Neodiprion lecontei: one gene and its partners. Each later gene encodes a partner of the first gene's protein in a complex. Links are inferred from orthologs where the notes say so. Each region holds a gene or a part of one and is shown in the gene's direction. Other genes may lie near its edges.

Region 1 (3,756 bases):
GTCGCTAGCCTCGGAAGTGACGTGATCTACGCCCGAGTTTTTCGTCTTGAAAAGATTTTCTTCTTCGACGGAAGATTTCACCTCGGCTTCGTCGTCAGGCTCGGATTCAGACTCTGACTCACAATCGGAGTCAATGACAGGTTGCCTCTTAGTTTCAGCACCACCGATAGCTGAAAGCAACATTTTTAACGGATCCTCTCGTTCCTCTTCCGAACTCTCAGCCTCAAGTTCCAACTGTTTGCTCCTCTCCGCCTCTAATTTTCGCCTCCTATTTTCAATCTCTTCGTTCTTGGCATCACGTTCCTTGACATACGAGGCTTCCCTGATATTGAATTTACATTTTTTCACCTTAGGCTTATGCTCGAAACGTTTATCAAATTTTCGTCGATTCCCTCCGCGAGTCGGTTTTTTCCCACGAACCATTGTCAACCGTCCCACTTTCAATATCGCCAGCAATAATTCAATTCAAATGAACACGGCCTATCGACAACCAAAAACTGAACGCTTGCATTGGCAAGCACATGGTTTTCAGGTTAGGTTCCGTTGAGACAGCAGCACTGCGAACGAGGCGGCGGAGAAGGTTGGCACCAATGGATACCAAACATAGCAGACGACAAAGAGCGGGGAGCGTCGCCTTATTTGAAAACGAAATTGACACAGCGTATACGTTGCGGCATCTCCTCGAATGCACAGCGATCTCCGCGAAGCGAGGAAAGATTCGAGAATTTCACGGAGAATGATCCTTGTAAAAGTTATTGACGGAGCTGGTCTTGTCGATTGATGAATCGGACGAAACAGTTTTTTCCGAGCAGCTGCGATATTCCTGTCGACTAGGATGCGGCCAGAAGGAGGTGGTCGGTCATTACGAAACGGGCGAGTGGTACGATCAGTATCGTTCGAGCGACAGCGGCTGCTCGTTGACGCGACGAGGGACGGTTAAACGGTCGTCAACATGTGTGACAGGAAGAAGGAAGGAGCGATTAAATCAATTAGTAATTCAACCATCTGTTGAGAAAATATCCGGTTGCAGAGCGATATTATGTAGGATTGCCCGGTGTTGGCAGAGTGTCGGTCGGCTGGGGTGTGCGCGCGCACCAACAACACTGGAGCGAGCCGCGACGATCAGCTCGCAGACAATTTCGCTGCGGGTTCGGATCTTGTACTCGGGACTCGGCGATTCCGCGATATTGCATGGTGGTGGTGGTGATGGTGATGGTGGTGGTGGTGGTGTTGTTAAGAAAACAGTAACCACACTCTCGTCGTCGTTCGATCGAAGAGCCGGGATTGGTATAATCGCGGATCAATCGACGGTTAACTAAAATAGGAAAGGAAACACCCATTTCCTCGATTCTCATGAACTCCACCGTCGTTTCTCTAGTGGTAAGATGGCGGTGCAGCTCGATGGAGGGGGGAAGGACGACTTGAAAACACAATTTGTCACGCGAGAAGGAACGTACAAACTGATGACCCTCTCGGAGTACTCCCGACCTAACAGGGTGGGCTACACCAACAGCCAGGGCAGCGCCTCGGTCAGGGTGTCCTTCGTCACATTGCCCGATCCAGCCGATCCCACGGGAGCCCAGGGCCTCGGCGACCGCATGTGCTTCAACTTTGGCAAAGAATTATACGTATACGTTTACCGTGGCGTCAAGAAGGTACCTCCTCTTCTGCCACCTCGTTAAACCTGCCCTATTATCCCTGCGACTCTTTCGGCGCTAACTTAACGATACATAACCTCAAACAGCCCCCCTCCCCCCTCCGCCTCGTCGTTCCGACTCCATCTTCGCAACCACCACCACCACAACTCTCCAACCTCGTCATATTCTTCGCATTTCTACTTCACTTCGACTTTATCTATGTTACATTTACATTTACGTTCACTTTTAGTTCATCCTATGCTTTGTTGGCCTGTGTTATGCTGGTGAAAAAATTGATCAATGATAACACTAATAGAAACATGCAAACTTTTGTCAGGTTTCCTAATCTTGGCACACAGCTACGATTGCTTGGTTCTGAAATACAAATTCATTTTATAAGAGCTTAGGAACCGTTTTCTGAATAATTCTCATTCAAAATCTATCTCAAAGTATAATAGCAACTGTTTCAGGCTGTGGATCTCAACAAACCTGTTGACAAAAAGCTCTACAAAGGAACAAATCCAACCTGCCATAACTTCAACCAAACTACAGCCACTGCAGACAGCGCGCCACTGCTCGTCGGATTTTCCACAGGACAGATTCAGCTCATAGATCCAATTAAAAAGGAGCTTAGCAAACTTTACAATGAAGAGGTATGCATAACAGATCAATTCAAATCAAAAGCAAAAATCCATCCTATCCTGATGAGCAATATTCATTTCAATAACTGGGCAGCCAAAGCTAGGCACATTCTACGAGTAAAGGCTAGCTAAGGGCTCTTTGTCAGGCTTATTGCTGATTGCTGAATGACTGAGATACAGCACCGTTATTTTGCCGGCACGTGATAACCAGGCAATTAGCAACAGACACGTAATATGCTATCTGTCGCGACAAGTGAGAGTTTTTTTTGCTTTATTATCTGCCACAGATGGCTCCGCGTAACCCTACATCATTCAAGGTTGGCAGTACTGTTGTAACGCAACTATAACTTGATGAAATAATTAAACAGGCATTACATACTGTGTTATGCAATACTCCGCTTATCTCTCCGATCACTGACAATGCGCCAAGATACTAAGATCTCTGCGTATATTAAAGCTGTAATCTATTCGTATTTATTAGCTATGTTGTTATTCTCTACCAGTTGTAAAACCCTTTGACGAATAGATATGGCAAGGACTCGAGTTATTTAATTTACTGGGAAGATGTTGACATTAGTTGAAAGATAAACGCGACAAAGAATAATCAGCAACTGATGTTTGTAATTTCAGAGGCTAATCGACAAGAGTAAAGTGACCTGCATCAAATGGGTTCCGGGATCGAGCAATCTATTCCTGGTTTCGCATAGCTCTGGCCAACTGTACCTGTACAACGAAGAGCTGCTTTGTGGAACGACACCGCCTCATTATCAGCCGTTCAAATCAGGGGATGGCTATGCGATTCACACATGCAAAACAAAGTCCACAAGAAACCCCCTGTACCGATGGGTGATCGGCGCTGAGGGATGCTGTATAAATGAATTTGCATTCAGTCCCTGTGGCTCTAATTTGGCTGTGGTATCCCAGGATGGCTTCCTACGAGTTTTTCACTACGATACGATGGAACTAGTGGGATCGGCGAGGAGCTACTTTGGAGGATTCTTGTGCGTCTGTTGGTCACCGGATGGACGATACGTCGTAGTAGGAGGAGAAGATGATCTGGTGACGATATGGAGCTTCAATGAGAAAAGAGTCGTGGCCAGGGGCCAGGGTCATCACAGTTGGGTCAGTGTGGTCGCGTTCGATCCCTACACAACGTCCTACGGGGATCACGATCCAGATTTCAGTGGTTCCGACGACGAATCCATGCCTCACACTAATCACAATAATCACTTTCATGAGAAGCCCAACAGATTGTCGACAGTCTCCCAAGGTATTCATTCCAATAGAAATTCGTGCGGGTCGGAGCTAAGGGTGTCCGGAGGAACCTGCTACAGGCTGGGAAGTGTCTCCCAGGACACTCAACTCTGTCTATGGGATATAACCGAAGACGTTCTTCGGCCGCCAGTCAGTGCCAAGCAAAGGACGTCGACCGCAGGTTCGGGGACATTTTCGTCATCGGGAACATTTACAAGCGGGAA
Region 2 (3,756 bases), on another chromosome or scaffold:
TACAGTGCTCAGGTTTAATTGACGAAGTTGAGATTTTAGCTTGCTGTAATTAGCCCCCATAGGTATTTCGGTCTTCAACCATGGTGGTAGTCGGAGTCGGTTTTTTTCCCCTTTTTCCAGTTTCAGCTTTCCTTCATAATTACTCGTAGTATCTGAAACAAAGTCGTGGAGCGTCGGCCCGGTTGCCAATTTGACAGTGAACTCGTTTTTGGTGCTCTCCTTGCATTTCGCACACTGCAAAATTATGGAATTAAGGTTTAGGTACAGACTGCTGGCAGTTAAGTAGGAAACTCAGCACACAGCCGTGGTGCAGTATCAACATCTACTTACGCTTGTGTGGAGATTGAGAGCCCCGGGATTTCCCAAGTATAAAATACGCACTGATCTCAACATTTTGACTGTCAGACTGTCTTCGGGTTGTGTTACATATTTTTGCGAATCGTCTAATCGAGAGTATTGCGATGAAATTATAAATAACCTTGAATGACACTACGCACTTGATTCTATGTATCTATGTGTGCAGCTCTAACCCCTAATACCTATCTGACAGCAATTGAACGGCGATGCTTTCGTAACTGATCGTAATAGTGTCTGCTATTTGAACATTGATAATATAAAATAGGAATACCACCGTAGATTAAAAAGTAGATGACTGAAACATTGCTCGGATATCCGTCGAGTTGTTTAGTAATTTTTCCAGTGTTTCAGGAACACGGAATAATCAAATCTACATGTAGTCGCATGTAATACATACATAATAATACGTACAATTCATACACACATTAATGGATACGTATGGGCATGCATACACGCGAGCTTTATCCTGCATGTTGCAATGAAGTAGTAAAATTTTTTCTTTTAAATTAGTATAAAAGTGTAATTAATTTATTTAAACAATTGAGGTGAAAGTGTTGATCCATTAATCCTCCTCCCTGTATCACACCGTATGAAAGTTTTTACTACGTTAAAACTCACTCTCCTGTTGTGATTGACAATGGTTCGGTCGGTCGTTTAATTGATATAAACGTGCAAATTGTTATACGATGGGGCTTAAGCTAACGGTGGAAGCTGTACTTAGCTCTTGTCAACATCCAGTTGATACTATCAAATCATAAAATGGTACGTTCTCCACAGAAAACCGTGTTCATACGATAAATCGCCGAAGATAACCTCGTCTTATGTTGTCTTTAGCTAACCAAAGCTAGTTTTAATTCTATTCTTTCCATTATTTGATACTGCTAATTTGTACACAATAATCTTAACTGTTGTATGGAATTTTGATACAATAGTGCGTTAACAATGGAAGAAATATGTTACTAAGAATGAGTCTCCGCCTTGTTTTCAATCTTCACATCCAATTCCAGGGTGCAAATATATCGCAGCTAGAAAGAGACATCGGCTCTGATCAGTTCCCTCCCAATGAGCATTACTTTGGATTAGTAAACGTGAGTATATCTCCAATAAGAAGGAATTGCTGAAATTTTTCTACTGGCTAAGTTTATCTATTTTCCACGGGTTGTATTATACTAGCTACTTCACCATGGTTAATTTTTTCTTTCTACTTGTTACAATCCATTTACAATCTATATATGGACTAAAGGATGGACTTTTTGTGTTGGACAGTTTGGTAACACGTGCTACAGCAATTCTGTATTACAAGCTTTGTACTTCTGTCGTCCATTCAGAGAGAAAGTCTTGGAATACAAAGCAAGAAATAAAAGAACCAAAGAAACCTTATTAACATGCTTGGCAGATCTTTTCTACAGTATTGCGACACAGAAGAAAAAAGTTGGCTCCATTGCCCCAAAAAAATTTATCGCTAGACTAAGAAAAGAAAAAGGTAGGTCGTTTTTTTTTTGGCAAGTTTTCATGGATGTGGTCATGAATGTATAGACGGTTGCATGTCTGAATCCAATTTTTTTTCCCTCGTTTCAGAGGAATTCGACAACTATATGCAACAAGATGCTCATGAGTTTCTCAATTTTCTCATTAATCACATTAACGAAATCATACTTGGTGGGTTTAATTCTGTAGAAGTATTGAAGCTACTTGTTCTAATTTAGGAATTGAAACCATAAGCAATATTTACCATTCACTCACAGCTGAAAGAAACCAAAGCAGACCTGCAGGCGGAAAAGGTGGGGCAGGAGATGCAGGATCTCCGCCAGAGCCGACATGGGTTCACGAAATTTTCCAGGGCATTTTGACTTCAGAAACTCGTTGTCTCAATTGTGAAACTGTTTCCAGTAAAGATGAAGACTTTTTTGATCTACAAGTTGATGTAGATCAGAACACTTCTATCACACATTGTCTGAAATGCTTCTCTAATACAGAAACATTATGCAGTGACAACAAATTCAAATGTGATCATTGCAGTAGCTACCAGGAGGCTCAGGTAAAAAAAAAAGTTACGCTGTATGTAAGCTTTAAGAACTTACGTGGAATAATAAACTCATTTTATAATGATACCACTTTTTTCAAACTGTTTTTTTTTACAGAAACGTATGAGGGTGAAGAAGCTGCCAATGATATTAGCGTTGCATTTAAAAAGGTTTAAATACGTAGAACAATACAACAGACACATCAAAGTTTCTCATAGAGTGGTCTTCCCATTAGAGTTGAGACTCTTCAACACTGTAAGTCGATTTATCTTTTACTTAAGACTTCCTTGCAATGCAATTGTTGGTGTCTGATCATCATTTTCAGAGTGATGATGCTGTGAATCCAGATCGATTGTACGACCTGGTAGCAGTTGTTATACATTGTGGTAGCGGTCCTAATAGAGGTCATTACATTTCTATTGTAAAAAGTCATGGATTTTGGCTACTTTTTGATGATGACATGGTTGATGTAAGTTCAAGGAATAATAACAAAACATCTCTTAGAGCCATATTGAGTTGAAGTAAATGAACCTATTGTTTGTCCCAGAAAATAGATGCAGCGACAATAGAAGATTTTTACGGCTTGACGTCAGATATTCAAAAGAGTTCCGAAACTGGCTACATTTTATTCTATCAATCAAGGGACTGTAGCTAGAAGTTGACTTATACTTTAGCAATTTAACATTTTAATACGAGTGATGATGATGATGATCCATGGGACTTTGCGAATGTTTAAATAGCATGCTGACGAATCGGTCGTTTACCTTAATATGCTATCAGATTTTTCAATTATTTTCTTGAACGTGTTCTACGCGCATTGGTATTTAAACAGTCGAAAAGAAGATATACTAGATGCATGCAAGCTATGATCACGTATGTGAAATCGATATGAGTATTCATCTATGGCAGACAAGCAATCAGAAAATGTTAATGTAAAGTTTATTTATTTTAATTACCTATGTTGTACTACGTAGAACTAGTCGAAACTGAAAATATGTAAGAGCTAAATGGAATCTTTTATTTAAAATACTCTTACCTTGGTTCTTATTATGTCAGTGATATTTAAAATTAACATGTTACAGGCACTATTATAGTACATTATTATTATTATTATTATTCGAATGTAAAAATATATGACTGATAATAAAAAATATTGCTATAGGCTTAGATAATTTTATTACACACCTTAACTTTACAAGTTTTGTTTTCATGCCCAAACAAGTCATATTTTCCTTTAGTCGAATACTGAGAATCTCAAAATAGACATTCCCACATATTTTGACAGATTGCCTTGATCAACTTGTCTGCGAAAATTGGGTGCGGATTGAATGAGTTGCAAGAAATCTTCAATGTCATATCAAGATGTTTATTACTT
Region 3 (3,756 bases), on another chromosome or scaffold:
TAAATATGTAGAATTGCATATGTGTTATAATTAATTACTATCATTATTCACCTGGAGTACAATAGTGGGACATAGTTGCTATTTATTTAATATTAAATCTAATACTAGGATTGCGCTGCTGCGAATATTCTTAGGTGTTCGTGTTATAACAATCTTAAGAGATTTAGGGTATTTAACAATTTGATAATTCGTAGTTTTGGAGCTGGTTTACATATGTGCTTTTGTATAATCCTCTTCTGTAATTGTTAATTCTTATATTGATATAGATCGGCTTGAAAAGTATTAGAGCATTGTTCTTATGTTTGTTGGTTGTCTGTTACTAGGCGTTGCCACGTATACATCTTTGAGTTAATTCCTTGGTGTCGTACAATACCTGTAAGGAGCTAGGGATATGTTTTCTTACGTTTTACCTCAAAACTGGTACAAGCCTTGTTTACCTAAAAGGGTTGATTGTTATTGTATTGATACGTTAATTGTAATTTTGTTTGGTTGTTTCGCTTTACAAGATAATCCCATTAGTTGATTCATCTACAATCGTTTCGTCGTTAAGCTTCGTAATATGTTCTCCAGATGAGGCTCTATATGGCTCCACATTGGAGATCAGCATTACCTTCAAAACGCTGCACACGTTACCTACAATACGGCGTTACGGTGGAAAGTATAATTCATGACGGATATTTGGCATTCACGGTTTTGAATGTTTTGCAGTCTCTGGTGTTATGGATTATTGCAGCAGTGCATCTATCTTTATATAATATCGGTTATACATTTATCTATGGTTTCACAGTCTTCTACTCTCCAGATTATACGGTATAGCGTAAGTTGCATATAGTGTAGGTATCAGCTCAAAATGTGCAAATGGCATTGTCGAGTGTTTTATAATAATTGGATATAATGGTGTTAGTTAATCATAGTGTTAATATGATAATGATATATAATAACGTATAATAATATTATAGCTCTTTGTAGTGCGAACTACATCTCGTAACATGGTTTTTAAGCCTTGATTAGTGAATTTCATAGTTATTTCTATCTAGGGATATTCCAAATAGTTAGACGGTTGTTTTAATACCTTACGGTTACAAGATTGTTGTACGTCGAGTTTGGTTAGTTAATAAAAATGATAAATAATAATAACAATAATCGATAAAACATACGGACGTTCCGGTCGGATGTTACAGTACAGAGCATAAAATAAGTCTAGTCCATATAAATTTACACTGATCTCACGTAGGTATCCAATTATGACGTCACGCCACATCCTTCGCAATGACAGGGCGTTCCTTTCCGCCGGCTATTTTGTTTTATTCATTTTTTTTCAACAAATACAATTCTAAAATCCATTTCTACGTTTTAATTTTTACTTAAATTACATAATGTTAATAATATAGTAATGATCTGATAAAATTTTTTATTATCAGACAACCCTATTCATTTTCGCGATTCAATTTTGAGTCTATCTCGTAATTTGTCCAGAATTGACTGCTAGGACGTCACTTCTGATTGCTTATGAGCGCCTTTCTGGTGACTTGTTGAACCCCGTCGCTTTTCGGTGGTCACTTCTTTAGTTGAAAATCCATACGACATACTTTTCCTTGCCTTTACACTGCGTAGTTTATGCTGATCGTGAGTGGTGAAACGCGATCTAAGCTGAATTCGGTATTTCTCTTCCTATTTTATTAAAAATCGGACCTCTACGGTTTTCGATGTCTTCAAAAAGTGCTTAGGCCAAGTCTGGACAATGGCAGCACACAAGACAGGCGGCCAAAGCGCCCGGAAGAAAGTCCAGGTGAGTACGGATCAGTCCGTATAACCAAAGCTTAGTGAAAACGTAAACAAATCATCATACGAGATGTTAACATGACAGGTTACATTTATCATATATTTGTATGTAACTTCTTGTCCTACACCATCATTGCTCCTCGCAATGATGTTATTGCGTTACATTGCTCATTATCGAATCTTCCTTTCCTCTGCAACGGTAAAAGGTGTCTATGGTAATTAGAGACGAAGTTGAACGTAAGCATAGAGCTGGCGTAAACTCACTGCAGTATGATCCAGTATCGCACAGACTCTATTCGGCAGGAAGAGACAGTATAATTCGAATATGGAACTGCAAAAATATAAAAGAACCGTACATCCAGTCAATGGAACATCATACTGACTGGGTGAACGACATTGTGTCGTGTTGCGGTGGAAAGAATTGTAAGTCAAAGTGACTTCTTGCCACGTTGTCTTTCTTCTTTGATGCTTTCAAATTCTTTACTCTCATTTTGCTTTATCAATTTTCTCAGTGATATCAGCTAGTTCGGACACAACAGTCAAAGTTTGGAATGCTCACAAAGGCTTTTGTATGTCTACATTGCGTACGCATAAAGATTATGTGAAAGCGCTTGCTTATGCCAAGGACAGAGAACAGGTGGCCAGTGCCGGATTGGACAGAGCAATATTCCTATGGGATGTCAACACTCTCACTGCTCTCACTGCTAGCAACAATACAGTAACCAGTAAGTATGATCACTTGAATCTCGCTCATAGTTCTGCGATTGATGCAACATCTGGCTGCCACAATATTTTTAGGAATATTATGTTTTTAATCTTTATCATTGGTCTTCAAGTTCAAATAAATTAAAATGAACTGAAAGTATTATTTTCGAATTTGCTGGAATCAAAAATAAGTTCAAAAGAACATAAGGTTAAAATTTGTAATGTTAATATAACCACGCATACACAGGAAACCTGACGTCTGTAATGTCAGCAGAACCATGTTGGAAAAATCGATTCTTACAGATACCATAACTAGGTGCTCTTTAGGTGCTAATTAGGTGTCCTATTCAAAAATTAGATGCTCAATTCTATTACCGATAAGAAAGATTCTTCACTCTGAGCTGCTGACCCAATGTCATGCTAGTAGCGCATAGTCTGAAAATGTCCAATATTGGTTATGGTTTTCCATTGTTATGGTAGTCTATAAATGACTGCGCAAGAGTTAGGTGCTCTTTAACTCGAATTCATTGTCTTAAAAAATGTATTTACACTTCAAAAAATCGTTAAATAATAGCGGTAGAATAAAAATGGTTGACTCAGGAATTAGGTGCTTTTTAGGTGCTGATTGCCTGATTTAAGAGCTTTTAAATACCAGTGGTGACAATTTCTGATTTTCAATCCTTAGTAAAAAACAAAAAAAAAAAAAACCATCCTTAAAATTCATTGCAGCGATTTCTTTTTTATGGCAAAATGTTCAGCGATCTAAGAGCTAACCGGACATGAATGATTTGATTTTTGAGATACTGCCCCCTAATAACCCCCTGTTCCAATTTGTTTCCGATCATCAGAAAACTACCCTTCAAATTCATCGCAGCGAATTTTTTTTTTACAGCAACTCACACAACATGCCAGTACTCATCGTTTTGAATTTTGTTTTCTCCTCTCATCGTGATTGGGCGTGGATATATCCATAGGGGTTGTTTCTACGACATTTTTTCCAATGTATTTCAGGAGTTCCTAATTAGTTCCTAATTCTTACATGATCAAAATGATTAAAAAAAATTTTTTTTCTGTGGCGGGGCTAGCTTTTCGGTAAGCTGATCCCCCCACTTTACAAAATGGATTTTCTCGTAACAGAAACGAGCTCAAAAATCGCGGTTTGCGGCATTGTAGAACGCATAAATAGCTCCTTAATCTATGATTTAAAAAAAATTTTTGGAGCATGTGGAGAGGGCAGCTTTTTGGAGGTGTAATCTTTGTATTGTTCTC

The links.
Region 2: WD repeat-containing protein 20 (region 1) and ubiquitin carboxyl-terminal hydrolase 46 share a complex: the UniProt entries of both Drosophila melanogaster proteins name them as parts of the usp12-46 deubiquitylase complex. The link is inferred for Neodiprion lecontei from reciprocal best matches to the Drosophila melanogaster genes CG6420 and Usp12-46.
Region 3: WD repeat-containing protein 20 (region 1) and WD repeat-containing protein 48 share a complex: the UniProt entries of both Drosophila melanogaster proteins name them as parts of the usp12-46 deubiquitylase complex. The link is inferred for Neodiprion lecontei from reciprocal best matches to the Drosophila melanogaster genes CG6420 and CG9062.

Annotation. Positions count from the first base shown.
Region 1 is NC_060266.1:565,660-569,415, forward strand, and holds the start of WD repeat-containing protein 20, read left to right. Parts: upstream 1-886; 5' UTR 887-1,385; coding exon 1,386-1,655; intron 1,656-2,095; coding exon 2,096-2,290; intron 2,291-2,908; coding exon 2,909-3,756. Other genes in the region: U3 small nucleolar RNA-associated protein 25 homolog, read right to left, coding at 1-423. UniProt on the Drosophila melanogaster protein: Regulatory component of the Usp12-46 deubiquitylase complex.
Region 2 is NC_060265.1:2,718,069-2,721,824, reverse strand, and holds ubiquitin carboxyl-terminal hydrolase 46, read left to right. Parts: upstream 1-796; 5' UTR 797-1,116; coding exon 1,117-1,119; intron 1,120-1,289; coding exon 1,290-1,445; intron 1,446-1,623; coding exon 1,624-1,840; intron 1,841-1,935; coding exon 1,936-2,016; intron 2,017-2,102; coding exon 2,103-2,395; intron 2,396-2,498; coding exon 2,499-2,636; intron 2,637-2,706; coding exon 2,707-2,850; intron 2,851-2,928; coding exon 2,929-3,036; 3' UTR 3,037-3,680; downstream 3,681-3,756. Other genes in the region: lipoyl synthase, mitochondrial, read right to left, coding at 1-234, 331-393. UniProt on the Drosophila melanogaster protein: Catalytic component of the Usp12-46 deubiquitylase complex.
Region 3 is NC_060264.1:15,797,101-15,800,856, reverse strand, and holds the start of WD repeat-containing protein 48, read left to right. Parts: upstream 1-1,601; 5' UTR 1,602-1,741; coding exon 1,742-1,789; intron 1,790-1,988; coding exon 1,989-2,205; intron 2,206-2,294; coding exon 2,295-2,507; intron 2,508-3,756. UniProt on the Drosophila melanogaster protein: Regulatory component of the Usp12-46 deubiquitylase complex. activates deubiquitination by increasing the catalytic turnover without increasing the affinity of deubiquitinating enzymes for the substrate.